4 linked regions of the Saccharomyces cerevisiae S288C genome follow. Changing the gene in region 4 together with the main gene of any one other region gives a genetic interaction. Each region holds a gene or a part of one and is shown on either strand. Other genes may lie near its edges. The genes, in order: ARO7, MRX11, PHO84 and PSD2.

What was found.
Region 1: mutations in PSD2 (region 4) and ARO7 together harm fitness more than expected from each alone (negative genetic interaction), as found in Saccharomyces cerevisiae (3 studies listed by BioGRID).
Region 2: mutations in PSD2 (region 4) and MRX11 together harm fitness more than expected from each alone (negative genetic interaction), as found in Saccharomyces cerevisiae (2 studies listed by BioGRID).
Region 3: mutations in PSD2 (region 4) and PHO84 together harm fitness more than expected from each alone (negative genetic interaction), as found in Saccharomyces cerevisiae (2 studies listed by BioGRID).

What each region holds. Positions count from the first base shown.
Region 1 is NC_001148.4:671,797-677,448, forward strand, and holds ARO7 (chorismate mutase ARO7), read right to left. Parts: upstream 3,836-5,652; coding exon 3,065-3,835; downstream 1-3,064. Other genes in the region: TFIIH/NER complex subunit TFB4, read left to right, coding at 1-346; BRR1 (Brr1p), read left to right, coding at 675-1,700; YMC1 (organic acid transporter), read left to right, coding at 1,955-2,878; JID1 (Jid1p), read right to left, coding at 4,181-5,086; FCY1 (cytosine deaminase), read left to right, coding at 5,369-5,652. UniProt on the Saccharomyces cerevisiae protein: Catalyzes the Claisen rearrangement of chorismate to prephenate. Acts at the first branch point in the aromatic amino acid pathway where it steers biosynthesis towards phenylalanine and tyrosine, and away from tryptophan.
Region 2 is NC_001148.4:473,497-478,824, forward strand, and holds MRX11 (Mrx11p), read right to left. Parts: upstream 2,246-5,328; coding exon 1,622-2,245; downstream 1-1,621. Other genes in the region: cyclin-dependent serine/threonine protein kinase SSN3, read right to left, coding at 1-1,211; isoleucine--tRNA ligase ISM1, read right to left, coding at 2,497-5,328. UniProt on the Saccharomyces cerevisiae protein: Component of MIOREX complexes, large expressome-like assemblies of ribosomes with factors involved in all the steps of post-transcriptional gene expression.
Region 3 is NC_001145.3:23,537-27,537, reverse strand, and holds PHO84 (phosphate transporter PHO84), read left to right. Parts: upstream 1-1,737; coding exon 1,738-3,501; downstream 3,502-4,001. Other genes in the region: Rag GTPase GTR1, read right to left, coding at 1-608; YML122C (uncharacterized protein), read left to right, coding at 1,120-1,500; alpha-tubulin TUB3, read left to right, coding at 3,855-3,879. UniProt on the Saccharomyces cerevisiae protein: Proton-coupled high-affinity transporter for external inorganic phosphate.
Region 4 is NC_001139.9:832,834-841,058, reverse strand, and holds PSD2 (phosphatidylserine decarboxylase 2), read right to left. Parts: upstream 3,918-8,225; coding exon 501-3,917; downstream 1-500. Other genes in the region: methionine--tRNA ligase MSM1, read left to right, coding at 1-235; LSO2 (Lso2p), read left to right, coding at 4,394-4,672; pseudouridine synthase PUS6, read left to right, coding at 5,156-6,370; PEX35 (Pex35p), read left to right, coding at 6,577-7,707; clathrin light chain CLC1, read right to left, coding at 7,902-8,225. UniProt on the Saccharomyces cerevisiae protein: Catalyzes the formation of phosphatidylethanolamine (PtdEtn) from phosphatidylserine (PtdSer). Plays a central role in phospholipid metabolism and in the interorganelle trafficking of phosphatidylserine.

The sequences.
Region 1 (5,652 bases), on a different chromosome or scaffold from region 4:
ACAGCAAACGACGGATGCCACAAATGGCGTTTATTTACATGTTGAATCTACAGAAGGGCTAATTCAATATTTAGCAACTGCAATGTTTATTGATCCGTCGTTAAGACCTATAATTGTTAAGCCAAACCATGGATCTGTAGATTTTAGGACATCATGCTATTTAACAGGGAGAGTTGTTGCCGTTGGATTCATCTGTTCAGTTTGCCTATGTGTCTTATCAATCATACCGCCCGGAAATAAATGTCCTGCTTGTGATTCTCAATTTGATGAGCACGTAATTGCCAAGTTGAAGAGGAAACCAGTTGTTCCAAGGTTGAAAGCCAAAAAGAAGGTGACGAAACCATGAACGAAAGGAATGAACATTATCCGTTTCAAGCAGGTAACCTTCGTCACAATGCATCGTAATAATACATAAAAAAAAATTAGCTTTAAGCACATGTATATTGGACATTCCACAGAAAAAAAAAAGCTTTTGATGTGATTAGCTTAAGACGTTGTGTCATCTTTGAACTGTTTTGACTTCAATCATATCGAATTTGATAATATAACTATCTATGTACTGTCTGGGTGCATCGCTGTTGTTGCTTCGGTAGATTTATTAGTTCGCTTTGGATAATGTATCATACAATAACATTGCCAACATCCATCATAACAGAAACATTAGGTGATAAACAATGAAAAGAGGAGAAAGCCAGGCGCCTGATGCCATCTTTGGTCAATCTCGTGCATTTGCACTATCTGATTCTTCAGTGAATCCTGATGTCATTGAATATCTTAAAAGTGTTAGGCAAGAAGCACTAAGAACCAACGCCATATCGATTAAGAATCATATGAATCTGCAAAAGAGGACGCGTCACAAATCAAGCATGTACGATGATGAGGATGAGGGGGCCCTTAAAAGGCACGCCATCTCGCCATCCTTGATTAGGCTTCAAAGGAATGTAGAAATATGGGTAAGGTGGTTTAACTCTGTGAAGGCGACGGTGTTGACTAATGCCTACGAGTTTACCGGTTATGAGGACGAAACACTGGATCTTTTATTGCTTTTCTTAAAGAATTATCTCGAAGATATGCCCAGCAAATGTACTACAGTTGAAAAAATTATAAGTGTCCTAAATCAGCATTCCTTTCCTGAGAAGGCAGAAGAGAAGGAAGAAAATCTTCAGATTGATGAGGAATGGGCGAAGAATATTTTGGTACGGCTGGAAAAAACCAAGATTGACAGTGTTGAGGATGTAAAAAAAGTAATCACTGAAGGAGATAAACATGAACTAGTTGGATACAACCAGTGGTTCCAATACCTTATAAACAATGAACCGCAGCATACTACTTTTCATGAAAAGATTACCTCTAAGCAACTTTGGGTTCTGATCAAGTATATGTCGAATACATGGATAAAAGAAATACACAAGAAAGGAAGGCATTATCGTCGGCTGCAAGATTGGCTATTCTACATACTGGTACATACACCCGAAAGAGTCACGGCAGAATATACAAGCATCTTGAGAGATCTTGGAAAGAAATGCCTTGAACTGATTCAAAAGAAGCCAGTTGAAGCACATGAGAATAAAATAACACTCCCGAAGGAGATGGCGGAATTGAATGTTGAGATACCAGCCGCGGTGGAGAATATGACGATAACTGAGCTGACAGTGTCTGTTATAGCAGTGAACTATGGTCAAAAAGACTTGATAGAATAATGTAAATAAATTTCTTATGTAGTTTTTTACAGGAAGTAAAAAGTGTTATTACTTTGATTGACTCATTCTTACATTTACTGATAGGCCGAAGATAAGCGGCGCCCTAAGAAAACTCGAGCGCAAATTGTCAGCGATGATGTAGCCATGCTATAGCATCAATCAATGTCAATAAGCTAATAACAACTATCATCTATACTCCAACGCAGCTCTCTTGTTTAGGTTTCTCGTCAATCAAATTCGCATCACGAAGAAGTATGTCTGAAGAATTTCCATCTCCTCAACTAATCGATGATTTGGAAGAACATCCACAGCATGATAATGCTCGAGTCGTGAAAGATTTGCTTGCAGGTACAGCGGGTGGTATTGCGCAAGTGCTAGTGGGCCAGCCCTTTGATACGACAAAAGTTAGGTTACAAACATCGAGCACCCCAACAACAGCCATGGAAGTCGTCAGAAAGCTGCTTGCCAATGAAGGGCCTCGCGGGTTTTACAAAGGAACTCTGACGCCATTAATTGGTGTTGGTGCATGTGTTTCATTACAATTTGGTGTTAATGAAGCTATGAAGAGATTTTTTCATCATCGCAATGCTGATATGTCATCGACTTTGTCATTGCCACAGTATTACGCATGTGGTGTCACAGGCGGTATAGTAAACTCATTCTTGGCGTCCCCAATTGAGCATGTCAGGATTCGCTTGCAAACACAGACTGGCTCAGGCACCAACGCAGAATTCAAGGGTCCTTTGGAATGCATCAAAAAATTAAGACATAACAAGGCCTTGCTACGTGGTTTAACACCTACAATATTGAGAGAAGGTCATGGATGTGGCACATATTTCTTAGTGTATGAAGCGTTGATTGCTAACCAAATGAACAAAAGACGTGGACTAGAGAGAAAGGACATTCCTGCATGGAAACTTTGTATTTTTGGAGCATTGTCTGGCACTGCCTTATGGTTGATGGTATATCCATTAGATGTCATCAAGTCTGTCATGCAAACGGATAATTTACAAAAGCCTAAATTTGGTAATTCTATTTCCAGTGTAGCCAAGACTTTATATGCCAATGGAGGGATAGGCGCTTTTTTCAAAGGGTTTGGTCCTACCATGCTAAGAGCTGCTCCCGCCAATGGTGCCACTTTTGCTACTTTTGAATTAGCGATGAGGTTATTGGGTTGATAATTCCTATAGAATTTATGAGCCATCGTTTAAGAAAATAGTACAATATAATGTATAACTTGAAACTCTATCTTCTTATATTCAATAGATGCTACTATGCGTACATATATATGGTGAGTGTGTGTGTTTATATATGCGTAGTAATCACTCGGCAATGTGGAATTGTTACCGTGATAGCCTTCATGCTTACTCTTCCAACCTTCTTAGCAAGTATTCCACCTCAACTTCCTTAGTGATAGGTATAACAATTTCCTTATAAATTTTTACCAAATATTCTGGAGTAATCCTTCTTTCACCTGACTCGTTGGTAGGGTCCACACCATAGACTTCAGCCTTCTTAGTTAATCTTTCTAGAATCTTTTCTTCAACGGCAGAATTGGTGATATTCTTCATTATCCCCTCGACATCTTTACTTTTGATCAGCTTTGTGTATAGCGGGATATCCGATTGGAACTTGGCTTCAGCAACAAACTTGCCAAAGTGGATTCTCCTACTCAAGCTTTGCAAACATTCTATATCTCTAGTGGCAACAGAACCGAAGTTATTCTTATCATCACCATCTCTTTTCGAAATTAATGGTATAATCTTTTCAATATAAACTTTTTTTATTTTATCATTGTAATTAACTTCTGGGGCATAAGGCGCCAAAATTTGTGGGTAGTTAATGCTCGGTAAGAATGATTTCTGAATCTTGTCAGGAAAGAAGGGAGTTTCATCAGGTGATTCGAATCTTCTGATGCGAGAATGCGCAATTTCAAGATTTGAAAGAGCCCAATCCAAGAAAGATCCTTTAAAATTCGGAATTTCTAAACCTGGATGGTTTGCCTCATAAACTGAAGGACATGTGGCGAAATGCGACCTCTCAATAAATTTGAAGATGATCGAATCCTCCATTCTAACTAATTCATCTCTAATATTTTGTAGATTTAAAACAGTTTCTGGTTTTGTGAAATCCATATCTTATACCAATTTTATGCAGGATGCTGAGTGCTATTTGTTAGCAAAACGGAATCGATGTTTCAACTTTTCAATACTTTTTTTCTTCTTTTCTTCGAACTTCGAAGATTATAGAGATCCATTGAAAATTTACGATAAAGGAAATGCAACACGAAGTTTGAAAAAAAGTTGATATTGAAAAAAAAAAAAAAAGAGAACCAAAAAAAAATTAAAAAACGTGAAAACGATGGTTTAACAACTTTTTTCGAATTTGGTATACGTGGAAAAACGAATGTATAGATGCATTTTTAAAGAATATATATAAAATTTAGTAATTGTATTCCGCGAGCGGCGCAATAGGTGATTTCATTTAGCTGCTTTCAGTTTGCGTATCATTTCTTCATTGATCTTGGCTTCTCTATCTAAATCCTCTTTCGACTTGTAAAGTCCCCAAGTTCTAAACCATAAGAACCGCCTCAATCTGGAAAATTTGTCAGTATCAAGACCATAATTCGTGTATGACTGAATCAAATGTAATCCACTTTCGTCATGAGTAAATTCGGCCTTGCTCAGAGACTCCTGGATTTTGGCTAACAACGCAGTCCCTTCGATGCATATAGCTAGGCCACAAATTATGCCAATAACGGTCCATGGGTTGATGTTTTCTTGAATTCTTTCGTTTTTCATGCTATTTGCGTCTTCCCAAGTCCCAGCGTTCCAGTATTCATACTGCGCGTTAGAGTGGTAGCCATAAGAGCCGGCATATTGGTAATTTTCAGTATTAACGTTAGAACGTGGTGAATACGATGTGGTCCAGCCTTGCCTCGTTGTGTCATATACGATCTTTTTCTTTGGGTCACAAAGAATATCATATGCTTGAGAGATGACTTTAAATCTATGTAGTTTTTCGCTTGATGTTAGCAGCAGCGGTGATTTACTATCACTGTTGGTAACCTTTTCTGAGCTAAATATTTGAATGTTATCGGAATGGTCAGGGTGGTACAATTTTACATAACGATGATATTTTTTTTTTAACGACTTCTTGTCCAGTTTAGGATTTCCAGATCCGGCCTTTGGAATGCCAAAAATATCATAGGGAGTTGGATCTGCCAACTCAGGCCATTGTTCATCCCTTATCGTAAGTTTTCTATTGCCATTTTTATCGTTCGCTGTAGCATACTTAGCTATAAAAGTGATTTGTGGGGGACACTTTTCTACACATGATAAGTGCCACTTGAATAAAAATGGGTATACGAACTTATGGTGTAGCATAACAAATATATTGCAAGTAGTGACCTATGGTGTGTAGATATACGTACAGTTAGTTACGAGCCTAAAGACACAACGTGTTTGTTAATTATACTGTCGCTGTAATATCTTCTCTTCCATTATCACCGGTCATTCCTTGCAGGGGCGGTAGTACCCGGAGACCCTGAACTTTTCTTTTTTTTTTTGCGAAATTAAAAAGTTCATTTTCAATTCGACAATGAGATCTACAAGCCATTGTTTTATGTTGATGAGAGCCAGCTTAAAGAGTTAAAAATTTCATAGCTAATGGTGACAGGGGGAATGGCAAGCAAGTGGGATCAGAAGGGTATGGACATTGCCTATGAGGAGGCGGCCTTAGGTTACAAAGAGGGTGGTGTTCCTATTGGCGGATGTCTTATCAATAACAAAGACGGAAGTGTTCTCGGTCGTGGTCACAACATGAGATTTCAAAAGGGATCCGCCACACTACATGGTGAGATCTCCACTTTGGAAAACTGTGGGAGATTAGAGGGCAAAGTGTACAAAGATACCACTTTGTATACGACGCTGTCTCCATGCGACATGTGTAC
Region 2 (5,328 bases), on a different chromosome or scaffold from region 4:
TCCAAATAAGGCCAAATTTTTTGATCGGGAGTGCCAAGAACTTCCAAAATTCTCTGTAGTTGATTCACTTGAAATGGAACAGTCTTTTTAGAGTCTAGTTTAGCTTCTTCACCTTTAAATATGGGCTGTAATCCTATCAGTTCTGCAAAAATGCAGCCAACGGACCATAAATCAACCGCAGGGGTATAGTGCCGTGCTCCCAATAGCAACTCAGGTGCACGGTACCATATAGTGACAACCACTTTATCCCCAGTATAGAGGGTTTGCAGCATATTATGAAATTTTCTGGCCAAACCTAAATCACCAATTTTAACACATCCATCTATGGTCACCATTATATTTGCGGGTTTCAAATCTCGATGAAGCACCCAATTTTGATGAAGATACGATACGCCGTCTAAAAGCTGCCACATAATAGACCGAACCATTCTTGGTGGTATCATCCTTTTTTCGGGATGGGAATGGAAGTGGATAATTTGTAGCAGATCATGCTCCGCATATTCGTATACCATATGGACACATTTCCTTTCCAAAAAAATTTCCACTAATGTGGTTAAATGCTTGTTGTGCAATTCTCGACATAATGCCATTTCTCTACAGGCACTCTGAGATATTCCCGTATAATGCAATTGTTCGACGCCATCCTTCTCTGTCTTGAACTTTTTAATGGCATAAAATACCGTCAGCGGTTTTTTAATGAGGGTTTGTTTTTGGGAATTATAGTGCGGGGATACATCTTCCCTCGTAGTTCGTATTCTTCCGGGGGTCACTCCTTCATCCTTTAACAAGTTTCTTCTTAATGCGTTTGTATTTGCCTGCATGTCCATTGAAGAGCTTGATTTTGGTTGCGTGCTGTCAAACTGCGGAATTTTCGCATTGGTACCATTCAGACTAGAACCATTAGCGGAATTGGTACCGGAGTTGATTTGTCTTTTCGCTTTGTAAACTTTACCATATGTGCCCGCAGCAATGTAGCCAATAACTTCGTACTTTTCTAAGACAGATACCCGCATTCTATCTTTTCTTGCCCTATAAGGTCCAATAGTAAAAACATCATTATTGGCCATTAGCATCGGGGCTTTTCCATGCACACTTCCGATTGTGTTTTTCTTTCCAACGAACGATTGAGCTTGCTGTTGTCCTTGTACCTGCATAGGCCTTTGGTACATTGGCTGATAGGAGTTTTGTGCTCTATCCTTGCCATTATACATTTCTCTCTCCTCCCGTCAAAACTAGGCGGCCTTAATTCAATTGGGAAGCAAAATTACTAACTTCAGTATACCCTTCCGCCTTTTTTCTTTCCTATAAACCTTTCTTGTATCCTTTTTGTCAGCAGTGATTGTGGGATAACTTTCAAGTATTGAAGCGGGAAAATGAAACGCAACTTAAGCCACACCACGTAATTCTTGAAGACTTTTGATGTATGATATTTATTTCACTGTTAAAAAAAGCTATAATTTCCTCTAATCAAAACTCTCTAAAACGAAATCAAAAATATTCGTAACACATATATAACGAAGTACAATATATTGGGAATCTATAAATCATATGCCGAGTGCGCAACTTCAACTGAAAACAATAATCCGTCTCTGGGCCAGAAAAAAAAAAGGAAAAAAAAGCTTTATTTCTTAATAAGGTGCTTTAATTTTTGAAAGGGAAGAAGCAACCATTTCCCAAAATATGGTGCTCCCCAGATACTAATGAAAATGCGTACCGGATATAGTAATTTTACTGTAACGTAGGCTACTGTGCCAGATAAAATCAACTTGTTTTTGTTGAGGCATTCCTGATATCTCTTACCAACAAATTTCTCCATAGCTGTATGACAGCTATCCATTAGGCCATTTAAGAAGTTTGGGAGCTTAAAATCATCAGAAAGATCGAGGTTATAAAGTAACCACCATAGTAGAAACAGTGGTAGTATGGCAGTTACCTCATGCAAGATGAAGAATGATGTAAGTGTTGGAACCGTGCCGGCCTCACTGAGGCGGTCGAAATAGTGTGAAAATTTAGGATTCTTGTTTAACCTTGTTAAAAGTCGTGACTTGGAAAATATTTTACGTAGTCTATCCTCCCTTCTTTTCACTGGATCTAAATTTCCCGATATGAATCTAATTTGGGTTGATCCGCCGGGCCTGGTGTTCATAAACGTGGTCAATTGCGTTGGCCTTTTAAGCATGAGCTCCAACGGTCCAGAGCCCATCTGCAGTTGACAGGGCCTGAAGAAAAGATTCATGACAGTCATGTTCCTGGTGAGGGTGCCTTGGGTGTAACACTTATCCTTACACGGTCTCTCAAAAGCAATATTTTTACATTTCTCTTCTTTGCTTCCTGTTCGTATAACGCGCTGAGAGCTGGTAAGAACAATAGGCCGAGGCCCTGCATCAAAATGTCAGTAGGGGACCTGTTAGGTACCCACTAATAAGTACAAGAGGGTTTTTATTTTCTAAGAGCCAATAATTGGCATTCTTTATATACAGGAAAGGTACATGTCATTCAAGACATGAGATGATCCACAGCTTCTTTACATCTGTCACACAATTTATCCTCTTCGGCTGAGTTGGCCTTCCAACATCTGGGACAGTTGTGCCTTTTGCTTCGTTCAACCAATATTTGAACGTTTATTCCGCTTCCCAATTCAATAGTTGGTAGACTGTTATTATTATCGTCCATTTGCAATATATCAACAGCAGATGATTGCAATATGTCGCAAAGCTCGTCAGAACTGAATGGGAGGTGATGCTTGGTGAAAATGGTAACGTGACTATGTGTTGTTTTGGTGACACCTTCTTCTAGACTTAACCTCTTGAATTCCTCCTGGAACTGTTTTAGAATTTTTAGTTCAAAGTTTTCAAAGGAGGTGACGATTTCCGTATTTGAGTCCAAAAACGGCCATTTTCCACGCATCGGATTAATGTCTATATGTTCTTGTCCTTGTAACCATCCTTCTGGTATATACTTCCATACTTCTTGGACCATAACGGGTAATATTGGTGCAAGAATTGCCCTATATGCATTTAGTATATGGACAAGCGTTGTTTGGACCTGCCTTCTTGCCAATGACGATATTTGGTTGGAATATAAAATATCCTTTGAGATATCAAAATAAAACGCCGATAGCTCGTTATTTAAATGATATTGTAGAGTAATGAGAACCTTGGAAAAGTTGTACTTTTGGTAGTGTTCTCTCGTCGTTTCCAGCAGTTCGTTTATCTTATACAAGGTATATTGATCAACACGGCGTAATTGTTCAATCGGCAAAAGGTTGAAATCTTGGGACTTCTGTAAATTACTCAATAAATAGCGAAAAGTTAGTCTAACCTTTTTTAGAGCTTCTCCTACATGTTTCATCACAGTCGGGCCAGCAACTATATCAGTTGTGAAATTCGATTGTGCTATCAGATACCTCAAGCCATCAACACCCAAAGCTGGTAAGCCTAAGTTTTCATCGCCTCGAATTATTGCTTCGGGAGAAATTGTATTTCCCACAGATTTTGACATTTTCAGACCATTCTCATCTAGGGTAAAACCATGAGTAATCACTTCTTCATATGGTGCAACAGGGACATTACTTGATGCTACTTTTGTTAGCAGTGAACTTTGAAACCATCCTCTATGTTGATCAGATCCTTCTAGACAAACTTGGTACAGGGGGGATGGGAGTTTTGACAACTTTAAGCTTTTTTCATAAAAGTCTTTGATCACACTCCATGACGACCCACTATCAAACCACACATCCATAGTATCTTGAGAACGACAGTATTCATGCGCTACGTCGTGATATTTTTCTGGCAACCATTCTTTCATGTCATTATCTTTATCGTTAAACCATGCATTAATTCCTTTTTGTTTGATTTTTTCTATGGCATGTGCCAAAATTTCTGAATTCATCAAAACAGAATCCGGTTCGCTCTTCTTGTAAAAGCTTAATATAGGGATACCCCATGAGCGTTGCCTAGATATGCACCATTCATTTCTGCTTTTCATAAAGGATGAAAGTCTTGAATAGCCTCTTTTAGGACAAAACTTGACGCGGCTGATGCTTTCCAGAGCCAAGTTTTTTACATCGTGTAAATCTGCAAACCACTGTGGAGTAGCTCTTATTATGACAGGTTTCTTGGATCTCCAGTCGTACGGATAAGAATGCGTGTATTCGTGAGATTTGTAAAGTAAATTAAGGTCGCTTAACTTACATAGAATGATTTTCGCGGTTTCGGCATCCAATACTTGCCTACCTTTTGTTAAGTCTCCTTCATCTCTCACGATGGATCTGACGGACTGAGGAAGTTCATTTAATTGGTAGCGGCCCTGGTGATCCACGGGAGAATAAATTTCAAGACCATTTTGAATACCAATGAGATAGTCATCCTGTCCATGCCCTGGTGCTGTATGAACCAATCCAGTCCCTGTACCGCTGGTAACGTGTGCACCATGTAATAAGGGCCTGCCAACCTTATCGTCTACTAAGAGGTTTTGATAATATAGCCCATTTAGATGAGTTCCTTGAAACTGTTTGATAGTCTCAAATGAGTTAGTTGTTAGGCCCAATTTATCAATGGAGCCGGTCTCTACAAGGATAAGTTCACTATTTAAGCGTAATAGGGAGTAGGAAAAATCCTGATTGAAACAGATTGCTCGATTAGAGAGAAGAGTCCATGGAGTACTGGTCCAAATCAAACAGTATATAGGCAAGTTATTCGTTATTCCTAGTTTTTTGCACAGATCCATCTGGGATTTCTTTTCAAGAGGAAATTTAACATAAGCAGCGATGGATTTATGGTTTTCATTATATTCTAATTCGCCCTCTGCTAACGCTGTTCTAGTTTCTGTACCCCAGTAAACCGGTTTGTTCTGTCTCTTAATCAGTCCTCTTTCGTACATTTCTTTAAAAATATTTAGCTGATTAATTTCATAGTCTTTATCCATTGTTAGGTATGGTGTTTCCCAGTCCGTTAAGATGGCAAAATGTTGGAAAGTTTCCCTTTGCCTCTTGATTGCCTTTTGTGCATGTTTTAAAGCCATTGACCTGATTTTTAAAGGCGATATTGACTCGATCTGTTGCGCGCTTAAATCTTTCAAAGCTTTAATCTCGATGGGTAGTCCATGACAATCCCAGCCAGGCTTATAAAAAATGTACTTCCCCTGTGAAAGTTGATATCTGTTTATGATATCTTTCAGAATTTTATTTAGAGCATGACCGAGATGGAGCTCGCCGTTGGCATAGGGCGGTCCATCATGTAAGATGAACAACTTTTCTTTAATGAACTCTAATTTTTCATCAGTCGTATTAAGCTTTGAAAATTCTTCGAAGAAATCACGTAGCTGCTC
Region 3 (4,001 bases), on a different chromosome or scaffold from region 4:
AGGGCGTTCATAATCTCCTTAAACTTCTTCAAATTACTTTGATGGTTGGACATATTGGGTATTAGCGAGCATACAATCTGCGACCATGCCTTGTATAAACTCTCATCCCAAATCGAAGTAGGAAAACCTATCAGATTGGGAAACCCAAATTCCGAAGACGTTTCACTCAGGTTTTTCATCATGATTTGGAACAGCTCCTCTCTCTTATCCAACTGAACAAGATCCATCTTATGCAGAAGAACAAAAATTTTGGCGTCGGGAGAGTACTTCCTTAATTGCTTCAAAGCTTTTGCAAATATTTCAATATCCTTGAGAACTTCAGTTGACTCTACATCAAAAACGTGAATTAACACCTGCACCATCTGGAAAATGTGGTCTTTTTGCTTGGTGAAATAATTCTCCATAAACACGTCCTGCCCACCACAGTCCCACAGATTTAGAGTCATATTCCCAAGAAATCTCAAATGGGAGTGCTCTACATCAATGGTGGCACCCAATCTCCTAGTGTCAAAAGCGGAGTAGTTACTAAAGATGATCGACCTCATTGACGATTTACCGGAGCCGGACCGGCCCATCAGAAGCAGTTTCTTCCTATTATTTGACGACATTACTAAATTGTCGATTGATAAACGTGATTTTGATGGCCTTCACTCCTGTGTAAGATACCTATTGTATTTATTCAAAAAGAAATTATTACCATAATCACAATTTAGGGTAGGGTCCCACATTGAACTTTTCACTTCGTTTTTTTACCGTTTAGTAGACAGAATGCGAGAGTGATAAAGAAGAGGCGGTTAATCAATGAAAAAAAAAAAAAAAAATTTAAAAAAGAAAAGAGAAAAGGAATAAAAAAGTGTCACGTGATAAAAATCACTACCCGGAGATGACTTCAAACGACTCGGTATACTCTGCCTAATAAACCTTAATTTTCTTACAAAAAAAAAAAGATTCAATAAAAAAAGAAATGAGATCAAAAAAAAAAAAAATTAAAAAAAAAAAGAAACTAATTTATCAGCCGCTCGTTTATCAACCGTTATTACCAAATTATGAATAAAAAAACCATATTATTATGAAAAGACACAACCGGAAGGGGAGATCACAGACCTTGACCAAGAAAACATGCCAAGAAATGACAGCAATCAGTATTACGCACGTTGGTGCTGTTATAGGCGCCCTATACGTGCAGCATTTGCTCGTAAGGGCCCTTTCAACTCATCTAGCGGCTATGAAGAAAATGTTGCCCGGCTGAAAAACACCCGTTCCTCTCACTGCCGCACCGCCCGATGCCAATTTAATAGTTCCACGTGGACGTGTTATTTCCAGCACGTGGGGCGGAAATTAGCGACGGCAATTGATTATGGTTCGCCGCAGTCCATCGAAATCAGTGAGATCGGTGCAGTTATGCACCAAATGTCGTGTGAAAGGCTTTCCTTATCCCTCTTCTCCCGTTTTGCCTGCTTATTAGCTAGATTAAAAACGTGCGTATTACTCATTAATTAACCGACCTCATCTATGAGCTAATTATTATTCCTTTTTGGCAGCATGATGCAACCACATTGCACACCGGTAATGCCAACTTAGATCCACTTACTATTGTGGCTCGTATACGTATATATATAAGCTCATCCTCATCTCTTGTATAAAGTAAAGTTCTAAGTTCACTTCTAAATTTTATCTTTCCTCATCTCGTAGATCACCAGGGCACACAACAAACAAAACTCCACGAATACAATCCAAATGAGTTCCGTCAATAAAGATACTATTCATGTTGCTGAAAGAAGTCTTCATAAAGAACACCTTACCGAAGGTGGTAACATGGCCTTCCACAACCATTTGAATGATTTTGCTCATATTGAAGATCCTCTGGAAAGAAGAAGATTGGCTTTGGAGTCCATCGATGACGAAGGTTTCGGTTGGCAACAAGTTAAGACCATCTCCATTGCTGGTGTTGGTTTCTTGACAGATTCTTATGATATTTTTGCCATTAATTTGGGTATCACTATGATGTCCTACGTTTACTGGCACGGTAGTATGCCAGGTCCAAGTCAAACCTTGTTGAAGGTTTCCACTTCTGTTGGTACTGTTATTGGTCAATTTGGTTTTGGTACTTTAGCTGATATTGTTGGTCGTAAGAGAATTTATGGTATGGAACTTATTATCATGATTGTCTGTACCATTCTGCAAACCACTGTTGCTCATTCTCCTGCTATTAACTTCGTTGCTGTTTTAACATTCTACCGTATTGTCATGGGTATTGGTATCGGTGGTGACTACCCACTATCTTCTATTATTACTTCTGAATTTGCCACTACCAAATGGAGAGGTGCCATCATGGGTGCTGTCTTTGCTAACCAAGCTTGGGGTCAAATCTCCGGTGGTATCATCGCTCTTATCTTGGTTGCTGCTTACAAGGGCGAACTAGAATACGCAAACTCTGGTGCTGAATGTGATGCTAGATGTCAAAAGGCTTGTGACCAAATGTGGAGAATCCTTATTGGGTTGGGTACCGTTCTAGGGTTGGCATGTTTGTATTTCAGATTAACTATTCCAGAATCTCCTAGATATCAATTGGATGTTAACGCTAAGTTGGAACTTGCTGCTGCCGCACAAGAACAAGATGGCGAAAAGAAAATTCACGACACCAGTGATGAAGACATGGCAATTAACGGTTTGGAAAGAGCTTCTACTGCCGTCGAATCTCTTGACAATCATCCTCCAAAGGCTTCGTTCAAAGATTTCTGCAGACATTTTGGTCAATGGAAGTACGGTAAGATTTTGCTAGGTACTGCTGGTTCATGGTTTACCTTAGATGTTGCTTTCTACGGGTTGAGTTTAAACAGTGCTGTTATTCTGCAAACCATCGGTTATGCCGGTTCCAAAAACGTTTACAAGAAACTGTATGATACTGCTGTCGGTAATCTGATTTTGATTTGTGCTGGTTCATTACCTGGTTACTGGGTATCCGTCTTCACTGTCGATATAATCGGTAGAAAACCAATTCAATTAGCCGGTTTCATCATCTTGACCGCTTTGTTCTGTGTCATCGGTTTCGCATACCATAAACTTGGTGACCATGGTCTGTTGGCTCTTTACGTCATTTGTCAATTCTTCCAAAACTTCGGTCCAAACACAACCACCTTTATTGTTCCTGGTGAGTGTTTCCCAACTCGTTACAGATCTACTGCTCATGGTATTTCTGCTGCATCTGGTAAGGTCGGTGCCATTATTGCACAAACCGCTTTGGGTACTCTAATCGACCATAACTGTGCTAGAGACGGTAAGCCAACCAACTGTTGGTTACCTCACGTCATGGAAATTTTCGCCTTATTCATGTTGTTGGGTATCTTCACAACCTTGTTGATCCCAGAAACTAAGAGAAAGACTCTAGAAGAAATTAACGAGCTATACCACGATGAAATCGATCCTGCTACGCTAAACTTCAGAAACAAGAATAATGACATTGAATCTTCCAGCCCATCTCAACTTCAACATGAAGCATAAAAGCCTCAAAGATGCACTAAAACTTGTAAACTAGAACAAATAATACAAAAACATTTTTATAAACTTATTATCAAACCCCTTACATAATCTATAAATACTGTCAGGTTACATATTTATTCGATAATTTCTTTTAATTTCATTATTTCCTCACATCTCTCTGCCATCCTGTTGGCTGGTGCCAGAGCAGAGCATATCGTCCTTTCTTTTTTAGTTCCAGACGTTACCCGACATATCATTTCTCGAGCCTCTGGAAACCACGAAACGTTTTACAAATTGCACATCTAAAAGAAATATAAACACAGATCAGGTATCTCATAAAGTACATTAATCGACTAAGCAAGCGACTTGAGACAATGAGAGAGGTCATTAGTATTAATGGTATGTATGCGTTCCTTTTTTTGTTCAATATTCGCAACCAATGGCACCTGTGGGACAGGGAAAGAAGTTTGATCTGATCTGGTTTGATTCATTCCCAATTGGTCACCATCTGGTTGATTTAC
Region 4 (8,225 bases):
TTTGGCTATGGAAACGTCTAGAATCCTCTCCATTTTATGCCAATCCATTATACCATCTCTCTCACAAAGTTTCCTAGATCGTATTGATGTTTCAAAGGAGAAAAGGACTATAAATTATGCTAGATTGGGTTCCGATAAAACATATGGAAAGCAATCTAACAAGAAAGGCCGAGAAGTACCTTTGAAAAAAATTCCATTCAGGTTGCAAGAGGAACAAACGAATATGAGGTCATGAAAAAGGTACTTACTGCACTGTAAATATTAACTTAAGTATTATATCGTATTTTCTGCAAGAGGACTAGGAATATAGTTTCTTTTGTTACTAATAAAAATGCATATTTTTCATAGGAAATTTCCTGGTATGAAACCATTGCTTTCATTATCAACGATGACTTGTTTGTACACGCTATAGTCTATAATAAAGTCTGAGGGAGATTGTTCATGTTTTTTTTTTTTTTCCATTTTGGTAACCACTAACTACAGCCAATTTTTCGGCGGCTTCATAGCCCAGCAAAATCTTTATTCATCATTTCCCGTAAAGTATGATATTCCCATGTTACATTTCCTGTACTCTTGGCATTTTCATCGCTAACACTAATTGTTCTCTTGATCCGTTCAATTTTCTTTGGGTCGTCTACTTTAATACGGATTCTCTTCAATTCATTCACATTTGATGTGTGTCCTATACTCATCCCGACTTTGACTAACGTTTCAATGCGTTCTGAAGAGTTTTTCACAAGGTCGGAATCAAACATGAAGTTGTTGTGCGGGATAATGATTATTATAGTAGAACCTCCAAATTTAAAATAGCCCAGCTCCTGTCCACTCTCAACTACATCGTTTTCTTTGCAGGTCAATAGTATGGATCCAACCATCATTGCACCAATAGGTATGTACAGTAGTTTGCCAAATTGAGGAGAATCGATGGGGATAATAACTCTGATATTTTCACCAAAGACGTCTAACTCACTACGAACGGCCATTGGATTTACAGTATAATACTCTCCATCCACATATACAGGTTTTCCAATCGTACCATTACATGGTGAGTGAAACCGGTGATAATCTTGTGGCGCCAGTCTAAATATACCAATACTGCAGTTATTGTCATTAAATGTTTCCGGATTATAGTTATTGGCTAGTTTCTTAATAGAAAATTTTCTTCCTTTCACCCATATTTCCTTCGATTCTTGTATAGTTGGGAACACTGTGCATCTTGAATCTGCTGGTGAAAACAATATTTCTTTATTATTACTTTCAGGCAGCCGGCTTCCTGGTTTTAGTTTCCTGTAAAAAAATTCATTGAATGTTTTAAAATCTTTATCTCGGCATTGTGAAAGGTCTAGCGAGTGAAACTTTATGAAAGGTTCAATTTGTTTGGCAGATGCAGTGCTGTCAAATTTTTTGCCTTGCCTGATTGATAAAGTCTTCAAGAGGGATCTAAATTTTTTAGACTCGGGACTTTTACCATTGTATATAATCCTCATTCCCAACTTTACGTGTGCGCTTATTTTTTCCTCAATAATTATCCCTGTGTCTCGGTCTTGAACCAAGATGTTTGCATTGTTAGATCCCAAAGCATATTTACCATAAGTTAATTTTATCAAAACCTTAGAGAACCATCTCTTGGATGCAAATGCAGATGAGACGTACGACGGCTTTAAAGTTTTGTGTTCTTTTGAAAACGTACATATGGCAAAATGGGTTATCAAGTCATTTTCTAGAACCAGTTTAGAACGTCTAGCATTTCTAGTTGGTTTGCATGAACGCATGCATCTAGGACATGTCCAGATGCGTTTAAAATTAGTGGATTTTCTCCATGACTGTAGCCCTTCAACTAATTGTGATCTAGTAATGCTCTGGCCGGCCCAAGCAGATTTATTGAAATGCTGAAAGAGTTCAAAAGAATCGGCCATCGTGAATGAACCAAGACGTTCAAGATAGAGCATTACTTGAATAATGTCGAGTCTCTCTAAGTTGACTGATGTGTCAACAGCTTCTTTCCAAAAGCTCTTTTTTAAGAACGGATATGAAACATATTTGAAGCTCGAATATAATACCGGTTGCTTAGGAGCATGTGCTGGCTCAACAGTGAGATCCAATGGTATCTCATAAGGTATCCATTCGTTTTCATGTTGTTGCTGTTGCAGCATATCAAACCAAGCCAGTTCGCATTTTGCAACGTCATCATTGAATGAAAATGAGTCTTTATCAACAACTTTGATACTGAAAGCAAAATTCGTTTCATGGGGAAAAACTTCGAAAGCGGCATATTCATTAAATTCTGGGTTTAAAGTATGTTTTCTCCAAGATGTCTTGAATACTCTTCTACCAAACGAAATAACGATAAATGGATCCATTTCATAATTAGTCTTGGACAACCGATTCCTTAATGCAGGTAAATTTTTGATAGCCCCAATATGCATAAATACTACCCCCATCGCATGTTCCTTTTTCGATATAAAAAAGTTACTTTTTGCTCTTCTGTATAAGTAATTTGCATATGATTTATTATGTTTACCCCTTTGCAGGTGTAAAAGCCGACTCCCAATGTATTCTTTTGATTGAAAATCAGAATCTTCACGCTCATCCTCATTATATATATCAAACTCCTCATCACTTTCCTGTTGGTTTTCAGATTCTTCGTCATCCACTGATGTTATGTCATTTTCCGACACTGCAGGTAATTTTGCAACATCTTCTGGTTCTACGATATCATATTCATCTAAAGCTGTTATCATTGAAGATAGACTGATACGGGTATCTTCGTCGATGTCATGCACATTTATGTCTGGCACATTTGGATGATCTGCTTCTTCAAAATCATTTAGAATATCTAGTTCTTCATCATTTAGCGAAACAACCTCAGATATAGAGTCGAATATAGTATCATTGTCTATATCGTACCTCCTCTCCGTACAAATGCTGCCGCTGCTATTCATATCTTCAATAGATTCCTCAGCATCTATTTCATCCTCGGCATTGACCTCTTCATCGTGGGCTAGATCAGTATCGCTATATGGTTTCTCGCGTCGTATTTCATTTCCACTAACAGCTGAACTATTGCTCAACATATCTTCTAGTGGAGGTGGCAAAGAACTAGAAGATCTCATGCGGGCCTTATTTCTATCTATTCTGCCCAAGTAAGTGTTCAACTCATTTCTCCAAGCATTGAAAGCCTGAAAAGTCGGGGTTCTTTTAACGTTACATTCTAGCTTAAATCCAAGCAAAATATCGCCCACTAGAAAGTTGCAGTTCAAGGAATCTTGGTCTTTCCCTCCTTTCATATCGTATAGATGGTACCGCTGAGCTTCAATTGAAAATTTATAGCTCGTCGTGGTGTCCTTCCTCTTGAATAAATCCAGTAATGAAATTTTTGCTTCACCCAAATATAGATAGCTATTAATCCTATTTTTGTGTGTGGACCCGGGACCTGTTGTTGAGAGAGAAGAGGAAGAATGTGAAGGGGCCGGTGTAGCTGAAGATGATACTGAATTAATTGATGTTGAAGTTTGATTACCTTTGGACGTAACATTCAAATTTCTCGACGAATGAGAGTGAGAACTTAGCCCTGAATTTGACAGTGTCGATGAAGATGTATTTGCAGTGGTTGTCCTTGGTCTACTGGGGGTAGTAGGGGGAGCTCCGGTTGGTAGGGCGTCGTATACTATAATCCTTAACCATTCAGATGTTGGATTTCTCGGAAGTTTGATCCTCAAGGTTTGATTCCAGTGTGTATTTGAGTTCTTGAGCTTGTTCGTCTTTTGACTATAAAATGTATTAGTGGTAACAAAACATACCGGGTTACAATTGAATGTCTTCAAGGCTTCAATATTTTCAGCTTGAATGACATGAATTTTTAAAATTAGCGTTGGCTTCTTGTTCTTGCCTCGCTTTCTGCCCTTAATAATCCTCATCTTCGTCGTTGGATGCTCCTGAAAATCGAGGATTCTTTACCAATTGATACAGCATCAACCACTTTGGGCTAGTTTTAGCATCAAATTGGAATAGTTGTCATATATAAGAAGAATTCCTTGAAGTAGCACATGCGTTAGGGCTAGGATCTCAAGTTTCCAAGAGTTTGACATGTGCCCTGCTTTTTTGTCTTTCTCCTTCTTCCAAACCTCATTTTAAAGTAACATAACCTTTGTATTTTTCATATTAGCCCTTAGTTTTTTTTTACCCTAAAAAAATTTTTTTTTTTTTCTTTGAGTCGTGAAAGCTTTTTTTTTCCAGTTAAAGACCCCTCAAAATGAAAAACTTGTATAATGTTTAAAATAAAGCTGAATAAGTTGAAACTCAAGTTTATATTTAATAGGTAAAAGAATTTATCAATTGAGCACAAAACCTGCCTATACAGGAAATAATAGAATAGCAAAGAGGAAGTAAAAAGATGGGTAAAAGATTTTCAGAATCCGCCGCAAAGAAAGCAGCTGGCTTAGCAAGAAAAAGAGATCAGGCACATGCTAAACAAAGAGCACAAATGGAGCAGCTAGAAGCGGAGGAAGCTTCTAAATGGGAACAAGGTTCGAGGAAAGAGAATGCCAAAAAATTAGAGGAAGAGCAAAAAAGACAAGAAAAAGCAAGAGCTAAAAAGGAGCGCGATGCGTTGCTAACCGCAGAGGAGGAGCAACTGGGCAAGGGTGGCAAGGGTAAAAGAAAAATGAAATAAATTTGAAGAATCTTAGCCTTATAGCGGCTAATAATTGCATATGATAAAGTCATTCCCACTTTATCTCCATAAACATAAAAACGCAAGACAAATAACGACAATAAAAGTAACAGTGGTAATAATAATACTTCTGTATGAGGATGCTTATCTTTTGCGGGTTGAGTACAAAAATACACATGGTAAGAAATCACTGTTCAACGTTATAAGAATAAAGAGGGACGAGGAAGGATAATGCAAGTGTAGTTTACAGTAAAAAGAATGACTTTATGGTACTAATGGTATGAATAGTTGAAATTATGTACATTAGATTTGCATATGTATGTATATATAGCTTGCTGTCATACAAGAAGATTGATAACAATGATAAAAGTTAATGAAAAATTTACTTTTTTTCTTTCATTAAAAGGCAAATAAATGTTTCTTGTGAAAACTTTATTGACGATTGCTCGAGACAATCAGTGGGCAAAAGGATGATTGTCAAGTATGTCAACTATCAAAGTTATTGAGGTATATACACAGAATGGACTGAGAAAGGTACGGCCCTATTATAACAGAAGATCAGCGTTCGTGAAGGGGCGCTGGTTGGGTAAGTTACTAATAGACGTTCTCGTTAGTGAATTTAAACTTCGCCCAAGAGCTTATTATTTGGACCAAATAAGGAAAGGCACATATAGGTTGATCCGAGATGGTGTGCCGCTGGTACCAGATCATCTCATGACTACCATAATCAAGAATCATGATGTTTTAGAAACAACTACGCATAAGCACGAACCGCCGGTAAAACAATGGTGTAGCCAGGAAGTTGAAGCGGAGGATTTACCTGGCAGAATAGCGGGATTCAATATTGTTTTTGAAGATGAGAGTATCCTCGTCATTGATAAACCCAGTGGTATACCAGTGCATCCAACCGGTCAGTTTTACCAGAACACAATTACTGAATTACTGAAGTTACATGGTGTAGATGCTCTTCCTTGTTATCGGTTAGACAAGATCACATCAGGCTTGTTGATATTGGCCAAGAACAGTCAGAGTGCGGGGGAAATCCAGAAGAGTATTCGTTCAAGAGATATGATTAAGATCTACTTGGCAAGGGTCAAGGGAAGATTTCCTCACTCCGAATTGATATTGGACAATGAAAATGCGGCGGAAACGACTTTTGAGGACACTTCCAAAGTTACAGTGGAAATGACACCCATATATTCTATCGATCCAAAGAGACAGTTTCCAGTTGGTTTATCGACATCGAAGGATGCTATTACCAAGTTCTACCCAATAAGATACTTCTCTCATGCTGATGAAACTGTCGTCGCTTGTAAGCCAATAACTGGAAGAACACACCAAATTCGAATCCATTTAGCTAGGCTCGGTCATCCCATCGTCAACGATAGTGTTTATTGTTCGCATATTACAAAATACCCCGAAAGGCTTAAGTTTATAACTCAGTTTCCTAGATGGGAGAATCAGCAGGATTTAGATGCTGAGGAATTGAAAGTGAGGTTTCAAAAATTTGTCGATGAGACAAAAAATAATTGTCGGACAATGGAAACATTTTGTCCTGAATGTCATACTGTTGATTTAAAGGATCCTGTGCTATCAGACCTAGAATTATGGTTGCATGCTTGGAAGTATGAGGAGATTAATGGCAAATTCAAGTTCAAAACAGATTTACCAAAATGGGCACAATTGGACAATAGTTAAACTTTTTTTTGAGCGAACTTTTTTTGTATATAGTTTAGTTACCATTTCCGTACTTTGGATGTAAATTAAAATTAAAGAGAGACATTATTTTTAGTTGCGAATACATAACAGCGAATGTTCATGGGGAAAAGTTAAAAACCCTATATAAAGCACCACGAAATACACATCGCGAACAGAGCTAATGAGAGTATACACTTGCTAACTATATGAAACACAATCGTCCAAATGGTACTGGGAAAGCAGTTTCTGGCTTCAAGCAGATAATAAGAAGGCTTCTACTCCTCTTGAACAAGAAGAGAAGAAAACAACTCGTCATCATCTTGAAAAGAATAACCCAAGTCTATGGAATAAACCTAGTATTTTATGTCAAAAAATGGAAATTGAAAAAATTACAGGGTGAAAATATTCAAATAAATGATATCATGCCATGGCTAAGAGAGTCTACTATATTAGTCTTGCTGAACATACTATATCCAACTTTGATGAAGTTCCCATTTTTAAAAAATCATTATATTCACTGGTCTTCCATTGTAGGAATATCGTTAATGCTTACCAAGGGTGAGGTACCTTCGTGGATTATCGCACACTTTCTTGTGGAAGCTATAGCCTCCAAATTAAAGATCGCAAAATTAACACAATGGTTGAAAAAAAAAAATTTTTCCCAGGGTACATTAATAAAATTCCAGCAAATTCTTGTGTGTTTAGCGATTATTGTATTATTTGCCAAACTGGACAGGAGTTCGTTACCATTCCGTGTGCTTTTTGACCATAGGCCATTTTTAATAGATTTCTTCACAATCAATGCCATTTTCACAGTTTTGGCAGTATATCACAGAACATTAAAATTCTTTTTTACTTCAGGGACGAAATCAAATAAGAATGTCGGCGGCCACGAAGTCAGGAACTTTTCTCAATACCTTGGGGTCAAGAACCATAATGATTGGCCCATATCTTCATCAAATTTGAAGCATGTAATGGACAGACTAAATGAAATACATGAAGTTACAATTGATGATAATTATGCAAATATAAACGAAAAGATAATAAATTCATATTTCACCAAGGGTTTTTTTCCAAGTCTAAAATGGACTATATTAAGGCAGTGTATCGAATATTTATTCGTCACGAAAAGGCGCAGATTAATGGGCAACAAATTGCGGTGCATCGTGATGCTTCTTACATTCACCTTCGTGGATCCAACAAGTAAAATGAAAATCAGCCCATTTTTCGCAAAATTCTTTGCGAAGTCCTTGGTTAATGTTTACTTGAAAAAGTATTGGCATTGCAACTTTGGGAAATATATACTATTCTTTTTGTTTCAGCTTAGTATTATGTGATGTGTTTTTTTAGAAGAGAAGAGTTTACAAGTTTGTAAATAATCTATATTATAGTTGTCTTGATAAATGAATTTACAGTATGAATTAGTTATTTACTGAACCTATCAAGTATGATACTCATGTATGACGGGAATGATAGGGAATAAGCCCCTTCTCTTCCTTAGTTCATTATGGTTCTTATTATTCATCATCATTTAAGCACCGGGAGCCTTCGCGTTACCTTTCAATCTCAAAAGAATTTCTTTAAGCTTAGACCTGTCTCTACCCCCAATGATATCGGCATCATCTTGGTTAATTAATTGAAGTGCACGATCCCAGGTCGTATTGTCTTGACCAAAAAATTCATCTCTTTTCTTTAAGAAAGCCTCAGCTTCCTTAGCAGCATCTTCCAATTGTTGTTCCTTCTTTTTATTGTAAGAATCGTAAAAATCGTCAATATGTTTGATAGCTTCATCCTGCAATTCCTTTTTTAACTCCTCGTCCTTTAAATCCTTTTCGTGAATCTCTACAGCACGACG